Linked DNA regions of Schizosaccharomyces pombe. Changing the gene in region 2 together with the main gene of any one other region gives a genetic interaction. Each region holds a gene or a part of one and is shown on either strand. Other genes may lie near its edges.

Region 1 (3,217 bases), 4.6 Mb from region 2:
AAGCACAAGACAGGATCACCAGCATAAATCCTACTGCCAGGACCTTAATAATATAAGTTAGACTCGTTTAAAATGGAATTGATGTCTAGCTCGAGTAGGAGTCATTGAGCGATGCATACCGAAGAAAGACCGATAATTCTAATTGGTGACAAACGTTAACCTTTGCTTTTTCATATTAACAAAAATTACTTACTTCCTGAGGTCGGACATATTTAATTACTATCGTTCACGAATATATACTGCAAGCTAAAGTTTACTGCTTTTGAGAAGAGAGACTTCGATGATTACCAGCTACTTCACCTAAAAAGGGTACGCTCCATTACGTTATACAGATGTGTTCTGTATGCATAGAACACAGAGCGGTGCACAAGATTTGTAAACTTGGCAAATAAGTTTAAAAAGACATATAACGAAAATGACTTGTTACTATTTTTTACACCAATGATCGAGCTTTCGGCTCATTAGTAAAGTATCGCATACGAACAAACTCTGAAAAACGTACTTTGTAGCTACGTAAGTAAAGGCTAGTAATTGACATTAACAATACAATTAAAAAAAAGCAAGAGGATAACCGACAAAAAGCATTCATTTCATTAATTTAACTTTGAGATACTAGTAAAATAAATTTTGTATTGACAAATATCTTAATTAGAGTATACAGGGAATGAAGAAATTATTCCTAGTTGCCCCATCATTAACGATCTTCTTTTTCCAGTCTATTTCTTTCATAGGAAAACACTCGTAAGAATATAAATAGTAGGCTATTTTTTTCGATATAGACTTTTGACGACAGATAAATCCAAACTGTATCATAATTGAGTGTAATGTTTTTTCATCCATGTACCGAGAATTTGTTATGCAAGGCGAAGGCAAAACCAAAAATAACCAAGGAGGCTGTTCTTTATTAGGAGGCATTAACAATCCTGTACAATGTAATAACATTTTAGCTCGGAGTTCTGGAGGTGCAAAATTCAGCACAAGTGAACAACTTATCCCAGTAAAAAGTCCTTCTTCAGGAGTTCTTTCAAGAAAGTCCTGTTGTTTAATCAAGGGATGAACAGAATGCAAATCAATCCTTGAAACTCGGAAAAGTCCACAAGTTGAACATTTGTTGTCAACAGAAACACTGCCAATTTCCAACAAATCTTTCGGCTCCTTAAGACGTGCGCAATACGAAAAACAGGGAGTTGTCCGAATCCATTTTATCAATATTTTACTTGAATCCCCTCCTTTTCCTTCCGCTTGACCGGATCGACTAGCTCGTTGGTAAGCATCAATACCTATATTTTCGAGTTCACTTTCCACATTTTTTATTTTTTCAATCGGAGCACTTGACGCAATAAGTCGAGATTTCTCTTTTAACAGGTTATGATAATGACGAATAAGCTTATTCCCCTTCAGTCCCTTTGCATTATCAATGTTGTTTTTTCCAATGCGATTCTTCACTGGAATGGGACGCATTCAAATAGTGATAAAATATTTGTTAATCTCCCAGATGAAAATATAATTGTATTTACAGTAAATGGTTCATAAATGTAGTTTCCTAATTACTTGAAAAGTTTTTACGATGAAAGAAGTAGTGTCGCGTTACTTATAAAAATTCAGCACAAGAAGAGCTTGGACAATGTATGATAAATTCTTAATATGTAATTAAAGAGCGGTAATTTATGCAACCCTTTAACCATTACACAGAATATTAAACGGGTTTCCTTTTTTTATACGGTTTGTACTTTACAAGCACAAATCAACTTTTTTTATATTTGAAACAAAAATTTAAAGGCTTTGGGCTTCGAGGGGGATCGAACCCCTGACCACTTCGACCCAAACGAAGTATGCTACCACTACACCACGAAGCCTCAGTTGATATTGTGCTTTGAAAACTGTATATATAGTTATTAGATTTACTTGATTATTAACTAAACTTTTTCAATTGTTTTTAAAAAATAATCAAAATAAAGAAAACAACCGCCAAATATGGTAGAACTATAACATAAAAAAATTCGGATAAATAAACAGCCAATATCAACTTCTCTCTTAAATTGTTTTAAATGATTCCACTCATCAGTTACGTTACGATATAATTGATATAAGTTATTTTTAAAAGAAAGTAATAAATGTGTATAAATATGTATATACGACAGCTATTGAAAAGTATTTTGGTAAATTCTAAACTAACGATTTATATCTAGTGGAATTGGATAAGGGACTTTATTTATTATTTCTTAAATAAAATACATTTTAAAAAATAAAAAAAAATAAAAAAAGAAAAGAAAAGAATTTGGTGTACTACGGATTACCTTAAGTTTTTAAGTTAAACGGGTGAAGTGTAAGTATTTATGATATGAAAACCATAGAAACATTTTTGTATTTTTACTACTTACAGACGAATTCTAATTGTTTCACCAGACTATATACTATTAAAACAAATAAGTGCTTCAAAAATAATTATTGTAGATTAAATTTTCTTGATAACTCAAACTTGAGTAAATTAATTTTTTAGAGTATATGTTAAAAAAATAAATACTTTTAGTTTAATTAAACGTACAAAAAGTGTTAACAAACATTATGTACCTGTAAACAAAATGTAATAATTAAATATAAATAATATTTGTAACTGCGGCTGCTATCGCATTGGATGGGGGACTGATTGTTGTACATTTCAGCTAAACTTATTTTTACAAGTTACTTTATTTACTGACACAATAAATTGCGTGTTTTTTTTGGATTACTATAGAAAAAACACATACGTTAGCACTGGAATATTATTATTTAGCTATAAAAGTCGCAAGAGACAAGTATGACAATTTAAAGACAAAGTATAAAATGCATATTACCTAAATTCTTCAGCATTTGAGCTATACTGCATGGCATCAAGATTAAACAATTTAAAAGTTAGCCGTCATTGTAGAAAATATAACTACAGAAATTCTATTATCCCTGAAAATCCAGAGCATCACCAAATTTTATTATGTATCTTCTATTTACTTATAGGTAAAAACAAAACATTTACAGCGTTACAACTTTCCAAATAGTGAGGCGCAGTGAAGCCGTTTCCAAGTATTACAGAGTTTACGCAAGCATTCAGTATATTGGCACAAATGAGACGTAACGGAATGTTAGTGATACAACATCCCGTAACAAAACTTTGTTGGTAAAATCCAACCATTGCATAACGACTTTAGCCTTTTAAAAAGCTTTTTGTGTTTGTAGTCCTTTA
Region 2 (4,376 bases):
TGTCATCAAAGAAGAGTGAGGCTGATCATGAAAGCAAGTAGCTAGTTGAATATATTTGGATGAGGACAAGCATCTCTTGATTTGGCTGGGGAACTCATGAGATGAATCGACTTTTGAGGCCATATTTACTTTCAGGTTATTGTGGTGCGACAAAGATTATAATTTGCAGAATAAATACTGGTGAATGGAAACTATTGATCCAGACAAAACTGTACGATAATTTCTATACTTGATTATCCTTTCCTAAATTTTGGTGGTACTCCTCTCTGAGTAAGCAGGTTTGATACTAGGTTAATAGCAGAAATGCTGACTCACAACTCAACGTAATATAGAGGTATGTACTAAACAGCCAACTTACGAATTTTGCAGGGGAACTAAAGATTAATAATCTTCAAAGGAATACTGCTCATAAAATAAACGCGCTCATTTCTGTGTATCTTGGAAAATTCATACGCATTATGATTGTTGGATTTACTTACTCAAAACTAATTTCCTTAACTTATAAACACTAATTTTAGTATACGGATTTTTTTTATTTCGTAAATTAAATTAATGTAAAAATGAAATACATTAAGTCATAACAGCACGAAGAAGCTGTATTTTAGTCGTAACAAGGTTTTGGAAAACCCTTAGAAAGAGTAAAAGTGGCTATAACAACTGATAACTAAATTTACCAATGATCGATCTTCATCGTTCCTTTTTCTAAAAGGTTGAGCTGCATCTTGAAAGCATTGGCAAGAATATGGGGTTCATGACCAGCTCCTCTAGCTAAACAGTAGTTTTCGGCAATATCGAAATACTCTCTGAGCAGAGGCTTATAGTCAGGATGAGCACACTTGTCAATAACCTCACGAGCACGTTCGGTAGGAGACAAGCCTCGTAAATCAGCCAATCCTTGCTCTGTAACCAAAATATCCAAATCATGTTCGGTTTGGTCAACATGGGTAGCCATAGGAACAATACAAGTGATACCAGTAGGATCCTTCTTCGAAGGACGAACCGATGGTGTATGCATAATACTTAATTTCGCATTACGCAAGAAATCAGCAGAACCACCTAAACCGTTCAACATTCTGCTTCCCAAAACATTTGTACTATTGGCATGAGCGTAAATATCGGCTTCCACAGGAGTATTCATAGCGATGCAACCAAGACGGCGGATAATTTCAGGGTGATTGGAAATTACTTGAGGGCGTAACAAAATTCTTTCCTTGTAGTAATCATAGTTTGAGTAGAATTTTTCAAATCCCTGAGGAGAAAAACGGGTTGAGGTAGCAGTAGCAAAACGTAACTTTTCAGAGTCAAAGAGAGGCAAGAAAGTATCTTGTAAGACTTCTGTCCACACTTCGAGATCTTTAAAGGGAGAATGGGCAAGACCACCGATAATAGCGTTGGCAATGTTTCCAATACCGGATTGCAAAGGATGAAGATTTTTGGGAAGACGCCCTACAGATACTTCATGATGGAAAAAGTCAACTAAATGGCCTGCAATAGCCTGCGAAGTCTCATCTTGCGGAGAGTTAGCGCATGTGATGTCTCCATAATCAGCCTCCACTATTCCAATAACCTTTTTGGGATCCACTTTGATGTATGGCTTTCCAATACGATCGTCAACTCGATTGATGTTTATTGGAGTACGATGTGGGGGGTTGGGAATTTCGACAATGTCATGAAGTCCTTCAAAAGAAGGAATGGCAGTGTTCACCTCGATGATAATCTTTTCCGCAAGTTGCATAAGTTCCGGACTCGCACCAACTGATGCGCCGGGAACAATTCCGCCGTCCTCGGTAATGGCTGTGGCCTCAATAATGGCTGTGTCAATTGTATTACTTTCACGATTACGAGTATAGTAGCCATAAAGTAAATCTTGGGGAAACATGGATAAATGCTTGTCGAAAAACTGAATTCTGCCAGAGTTAATTCCTTTAGAAATTGGCTTTCCTACTTGATGAGGACACCGGCGCTCAATCATATTCAATTCAGCCCACTTGCATTCCGTATCAGCACCTCCCGAGGCACCAACGAACAATTTAAAACGCAATTTTCCTTGCAAATTGTTCTCTTCGACATGTCTTGCTAACGCGTTTGGAATCATTTTAGGATAACCGACACCAGTAAAACCAGACCAACCAACATAGTCCCCATTTTTAAAGTACGGAACCAACTTGGCAGGATCCGTAACAATTTTTTTGGCAAATTCGGCATTGCGAATGCGTGAACTCAGAAGAGACGGCATTGTATCAACAAAAAGAAGAGAAGAGGAAGGAAATATTAAAACGTTGAACTAGTAAAAGTCAAATTCAAAAGCGATAAAACAAGAAAAAAAAGAAAAGAAAAAGAAATCTTTCAATGAAGAATCTGGGCGACAGATAAATAATCAGAATATGCTCAAAAACGCTTTTTTGGGCTTAAAAGATAATTTTAATTTGTTGAATGTACACTCTTTTTTACTTTTAAATAAGAAAATGAATCAACCAAAAGTGGTTGTTCTTGTGACAAATATGTAACTGCTCAGTAACAGATTTACAAACCCAAGGATCACAGATATCGGTAAGATATGGAATGATGATTGCAAAAAAAAAGCCGGAATGATGAATGTATGCGCGACTTGATTTTAGCAAAGTAGACCAAAATTGTGACGAAAAAAAGAGACAGAATTTGCGAAATAGGAAAAGGGTAAAAGGTTGACCGGGTGAAAATCTTCAATAATAAAAGGGCGTAAACTTTGTTTAAACAATGTGTTTCGAAAAAAAGTGTTGTTTGCTTATTTGTTTTCCGGGGAAGGAAGGTGTTTTTTTATGGTGATTTAGTCACAGAAACGGAAGAATATGAATGAGAGTAAATATAATGAAAATCCCAAGTAGAGTAGCGTTTTGCCCTATTAAATGACAAAACCCGAGTGTGTTGACTTTGGCAGACGTTTTGTTATATCTGTAAAAGAATTAAGGATAAGGAGAACAAATGTAGGTAGGTAAGTTAGTAGTAAAGCGAACACGAACGAACCGATGCAAGAAGAAAGAGTCAAATGATTAAATTAAACTGAATAGAGGTGAAAGGGGGGTGAAAAGATATTAAATCAAAGAAACTTCAACAAAATAACCAAAGATTCAGCTGTTTAAAAGCCAAATTTCAAAATCCTGGAAATTGTTTTGTTTTGATCTCAACGACGCTAATGACAATCAGAAGTATCGATTATAAGAGTGAATTACACTCAATTTTTGTAAATATACCAAAATACTTATGGATGGTAGTTGTTAGGTTAGGAATTCAAGTGTTGAAATGGAATTCACCTTGTTTTATATGTGTAAAATAAGGTTTCACCTAGAGCCTATGGAGGGTCATTCATTGGAATCGCACATTCAAGCAGGTAGGGAATCAAAACAAATGCAGTACGTATAAGGGAGTGAGGCAAATTACGGTAAAAAGATAGTGCCGAGAATGCTTGCTTACGTTGTAATTTCTATAACAAATTTTGTAGAAATCCTGCTAAATAATTAATAACGATAAATCACGAAATATTTTGTTTTTCAGTTTAAGTCAGAATTAAGAGGCAGAAGGCAGCAATGACTTAGTACGATATATCGTCATATTAAAACAAGAAATCAAATTATGGAGGTAATTAGGAACGGTATCCCATTATTGTCCCAAAACTGGGTATTATTATTCAAACGCGGTATATAAATAAAAATATATGTTTACGTTATACAATTAATTTATTTATTAGCATTATTAATAAATTAGGATTATTAATAAACAGAAAAGACTAGACTTAACTATTTGTATCAAATTAGTTCAGATCATTCAAAAAACTTTTAAAGAAACGGTTCAATCACTACAATCAACAATATCACAAGTGTGAGTTAACAACTAATAAACATTCCTTCTTAACCAGAAAAATGATAGAATTTTTTGACTTAAAATCCTTGTAGGCCACAGAACGATATATTCGTTCTAAAACTTCCGTAAGGAAATGGTCAACTCCAATTAGCTATCACCTTTTTTCCTGTATAAGAAAAGAACCAGCTCAAAATGTTTACTCAACTAAATCATTGTAATAGCATGTTGAGAATTTTGTTTTTAATAATAGCAATGATATGAGCAATGAAGCATGAATTAGGAGATTTTTTTTTTTTTTTTTTTCAAATTGTGAATTATAGGCAAGAAGACTGAGCTTTCAAAAGAAGGACCGAAAGCAATAAATTTTAACAAAGACAAAAAAGATATGTATTAAAGGTCAAATGAAGGAAAAACACAGTACAAGAGATCGGAGCACAAAATATTCACCTACCAAGGAATGCAAGGAAACACGAAATGGAAAACAGTAAATTCAACAGGCGTAAGAAAACAAACGATGATTAGGACAGAGAGATGAGGAA
Region 3 (4,046 bases), on a different chromosome or scaffold from region 2:
TAATGGATCAAACTAATTTAACCAATGTGAAAATAGTGGTTCTATTTCCATCAATGAAAATCTGCTACACCGTTTTTTTTTCTTTTTTTAAAAGTTATTCTTGTTGGGGTACATGGAAAAAGGGTGTTTTATTGGACCTACAAATAATTACCACTGTCGCGAGCAACATTTTTCCAATGTATATTAAAGTGTAGAAGACTTCTTTTGTAGGGGTTAGATTATTAGATTCGTTTTTTGGTACTACTATAACTGTTCACCACGGTGCTGTTTATAGTAAATAAAATGATGGGTGAGCGCACACAATAATTAATTTCATATTGGAGAGTATGAGAAAGCTTCACTACGGCTTTAATTTTAATTACTGAGTCGATCGAGGTTGGCCAAATTATACATAATTGAGAAAACAGCCAATTTAAAAAGATTACTTTGTATTTTTGAGTTTATAAGGAGATTTTAAGGCAATATTAGTTAGCATCAATTATAGCAAAATTATTATGGTCAATGAGAAACGTGTTTGTAGGCATTCTTCTATAAAAAAAAGAAGTAGGTACTATCTTTTTACAGAAGAATTAACTCAAATTTAAAAACCATATGTAATTGACATTCCGGTGTTTAATATACCATGCCGTGTCTGTTGAAACATTTTAGAAACGTTTGCTTTCATTGTGTTCACTAACATGTGTAAGTAATGTAAAAAAAATGAATACAGTAATGAAAGGAAGCCTACAGCACCCCGGATTCCCATGTTGTCTCCAACCATAGTACTAACGAGGCCCTCAGACGCTTAACTGCAGTGATCGGACGGGAACTGGTGTTTTCGCCTAGGTATGGCCGTAGACATTTGCTGTATAAGTTAAAATAATTTATAGTGCTAATTATAGACAGAAGAATACTCATACTCTTTGTATAATGTTGCGAAGAATTTGCGAATCCAAATGTATTATCACTCATGAATGTAATTTGTATTGTATATTAATAGTATTTTACATGAATATTTCGATTATGTTTTAATTCGATGAGCTGCTCGGCATCACTGGTATCCTAACATTGCAGAGTTGAAACATCAAATTATTCAACTCGTTAACAATGCGGTTGCTTCCAACTTTTATTCAACTTCTAATACTTGTTTCTGTATCAGTATTTAATTCTATCCAATTTTTTTTCATAATTCCTTTTTTTTTACTGGTTTGTTTACTCAATTTTTCACACTCACATATGAACGATTATGTACTAATATAGTATCTTTCATATCAAAATATAATATTAAAGAGGTACCGTTTTTTCCTTAACAGATTGCCTCAGAATCCTATCATTGGCTTCATATAGTGCATTTTACTGAAGTCGCGGAAATTATATCGATTTATTTTGTATTGAAAAAGAATTGTTTGTTTGCACTCGATTGTAGCTTTTATAGTGTTTTTTTTTATTATGGATTGAATAATTCTTCCTATTTAGCATCTATGACTTACTGATTAGACTTACAGTGCCAGATGTTTGGTTGAAAAAAGACATATGGAATAGTAGTTTTTAATAGGATTCTCGCGCAAATAAAAGAAGGTGAAAATGCATTTTATAAGAGTATTCAGTGAAAGATTTCTGGCTTCTGTGTACCGTCCCTCTCTTCTCTAGCTTACATAAATATGCCGTAAATTTCCGTATACTTGTGCATCTTCATCGGCTCCGGTTAATTTGCTAAATACCTTACCTCACCAAGAATCTACAATATCCTCAGAAAAGTAATACATTTGGCAAAATTTGCCAAATCAGTATTTTTGTATAGTACTTTATTTCCAATTTACTGTTCAGGTCTTAACGCTTGTCGTCCTGGTACCGCTATCGTTTAGAAGTTTCTTAAGTAGTCAAATTGAGGTTGTGGCACCATCAATCGTTCATAATTAGAGAAACATTTTAAGTGGTTTCTTTATTTTTCGAATGTGCTTGGGAGGGTAGTTGATTGATGGCCATTGTTTTTCCATTCCAACTTGAAAAGAAGTTGATATCAATTACTTCGGATAGGGACCAAATTTCTATGTCTATACCCGAGGTGTCGAGTCATGACAGTTGTTTAAACGATTGTCATTCTGTGAATTCGGAAGAACAGGCAAAACCAGTTTGTTGCTTAGAGTTGAATGCCCATAAAGATGGTATCAAGGTAGTTGACACTTCCAACGATGCCTCGACATTCTCCAATTCACCGCTTGTACCAGATAATTTTGGGGTCGTTTATCCTGGAATTATTTATCGTTCTGCATGTCCACGTGCTTCTAATTTCAATTTCCTGGAATCCTTACACATCCGTACCATTATATCATTAAGACAAGAAGAGTATTCCGAAGAGGATCTCCACTACTTCACTAAACATCACATTAATTATTATCATATTGCCATGCCTGGAAGCAAACATCGGAAAAACGATTGCATTTCCTCTTCCTCAAATCCCGACATTTCAGGTAAGCTTTCCACCATCTTAACTTGTTGCACACTTTGTTTAAAAATTAAAAAGATATTTTAATTATTCTTCATTCCTTGTTTCAAGTTTTTTTTTAATTACTTTACTTTGATTAGCTAACCCGCTTGCTAGACGTTGACGATCTTGTACGAAAAACTTTACAACTTCTTTTAAATAAAGAAAATTGGCCTGTTTTGCTCCATTGCAGTCGTGGAAAGGTAGGTTATTCTTTTCTTTAGATTATTTTCTTAATTATTGCTTTGCTAACGATTCATTAAGCATCGCACAGGTATTGTAATTGGTTGTCTAAGAGCATTGATGAATTGGCCAGTCGGAAATCGTTTACAGGAATATATGTAAGTTTTCATTTATTTCATTGTTTTCGTATCAATTGTTAACCTATAAAGATCCTTTTCACATCCCAAAGAACGTGAAGTTGACGAAGAATATATTCAGAACTTTTCATCAGATCCATCTCTAAAGTCTTCTCTCAATGATTTGAAACGGTATATTAGTGATTCATCTTCAGAATTAGCTGATGTCGTTTTGTCCAGTGAGTCTCCGACAGTGCAAGCTGCTACTGTGAATGAAACTTGTCGTTCTCCCGGTTCGTAATTGAATGCCTTATAGAGTATTCCTGTTTTTCAACTTTTTCTATTTGTGTTTATCACTTGGCTGTTCCATATATATATGTCTTTCGCTATTTTGTTCTTTTTCCTAGTTATAGCTTAAATGCTTAATAGCTACCAGATGGTACATAATTAGGATTTACCTCCTACATAACATTTTCTTTTATAATTTTTAATTCTTTCATAAACTTGTTTGCTTATATATATGTACTATTTACTATCCGAGGAATTTTTACAGAATTTCATAGGAGTAAGTAACTGTACATTTGAAGAAAATACGGTGGTGTTTCCACCACGTTTTCTTCGTCTTCTTTTTTGGAATAATGGTTTTGAGGTTCAACGTTGTATATATCGTATAATATATCACTTTTTAATATTCATTCATGAAGGTTTTCCCGTAACCGACTGCGTTGGCAGTTGCGAATGTAGTTAGAGCAATTGGGTATAGTCGAAAAGATTTGATTGATTTGGTAGCATTAATCATTAGATAGGCAATTGACCAAGCTGTACAAATTCCTGAACCGTTGGTTAAGTCTATATTCGTAAGGTCAATAAATTGCGAAAAGCAAATGAAAAACAATCCTAATAGTTGCAAAGACTTGAAACTTTTTAAAACGAAATTGAACACATTCATAAAAGCTGCTTAATGATCGTGAGGAGTAATATTTGAAATCAAACGTCTATCCTTAAATTCCTATGTATTTTACCAAGGCAACATATAATGAATTGGAATACTAGTCACCAAAATCACTTACCACCACTAGCAATTGCAAGACTGAAAAAGTAATTAGTAAAATAGAACAGTACAAAAGAAATAAGTATATTTGTAAATACCCTCCTATAGCATTGAATCCACCACACAAAAGACAACCAGGAACGAAAGGACCGCCATAGGGTCGTTTAAATGCTCTAGGTACAGAAGCAATTACTGTTTTATAGAAATTAGCTAAATACTGAATTAATTAATT

Evidence for each region.
Region 1: mutations in ach1 (region 2) and bmt2 together harm fitness less than expected from each alone (positive genetic interaction), as found in Schizosaccharomyces pombe (one large-scale study listed by BioGRID).
Region 3: mutations in ach1 (region 2) and siw14 together harm fitness more than expected from each alone (negative genetic interaction), as found in Schizosaccharomyces pombe (one large-scale study listed by BioGRID).

Annotation. Positions count from the first base shown.
Region 1 is NC_003424.3:363,794-367,010, reverse strand, and holds bmt2 (rRNA (adenine) methyltransferase Bmt2), read right to left. Parts: upstream 1,567-3,217; 5' UTR 1,462-1,566; coding exon 649-1,461; 3' UTR 569-648; downstream 1-568. Other genes in the region: protein Vps55, read right to left, coding at 1-43, 120-138, 194-210.
Region 2 is NC_003424.3:4,980,664-4,985,039, forward strand, and holds ach1 (acetyl-CoA hydrolase), read right to left. Parts: upstream 2,495-4,376; 5' UTR 2,237-2,494; coding exon 671-2,236; 3' UTR 552-670; downstream 1-551. Other genes in the region: SPOM_SPAC1952.08C (pyridoxamine 5'-phosphate oxidase), read right to left, coding at 1-123. UniProt on the Schizosaccharomyces pombe protein: Presumably involved in regulating the intracellular acetyl-CoA pool for fatty acid and cholesterol synthesis and fatty acid oxidation.
Region 3 is NC_003423.3:1,403,378-1,407,423, reverse strand, and holds siw14 (inositol pyrophosphatase Siw14), read left to right. Parts: upstream 1-1,691; 5' UTR 1,692-1,957; coding exon 1,958-2,450; exon of another isoform or gene 2,451-2,474; intron 2,475-2,581; coding exon 2,582-2,667; intron 2,668-2,728; coding exon 2,729-2,805; exon of another isoform or gene 2,806-2,856; coding exon 2,857-3,064; 3' UTR 3,065-3,448; downstream 3,449-4,046. Other genes in the region: methionine--tRNA (Met) ligase Rar1, read left to right, coding at 1-16; protein aim19, read right to left, coding at 3,449-3,612, 3,834-3,853, 3,913-4,006. UniProt on the Schizosaccharomyces pombe protein: Cleaves the beta-phosphate at the 1- and 5-position of soluble inositol pyrophosphates. Has exopolyphosphatase activity in vitro but does not appear to contribute to the homeostasis of cellular polyphosphate.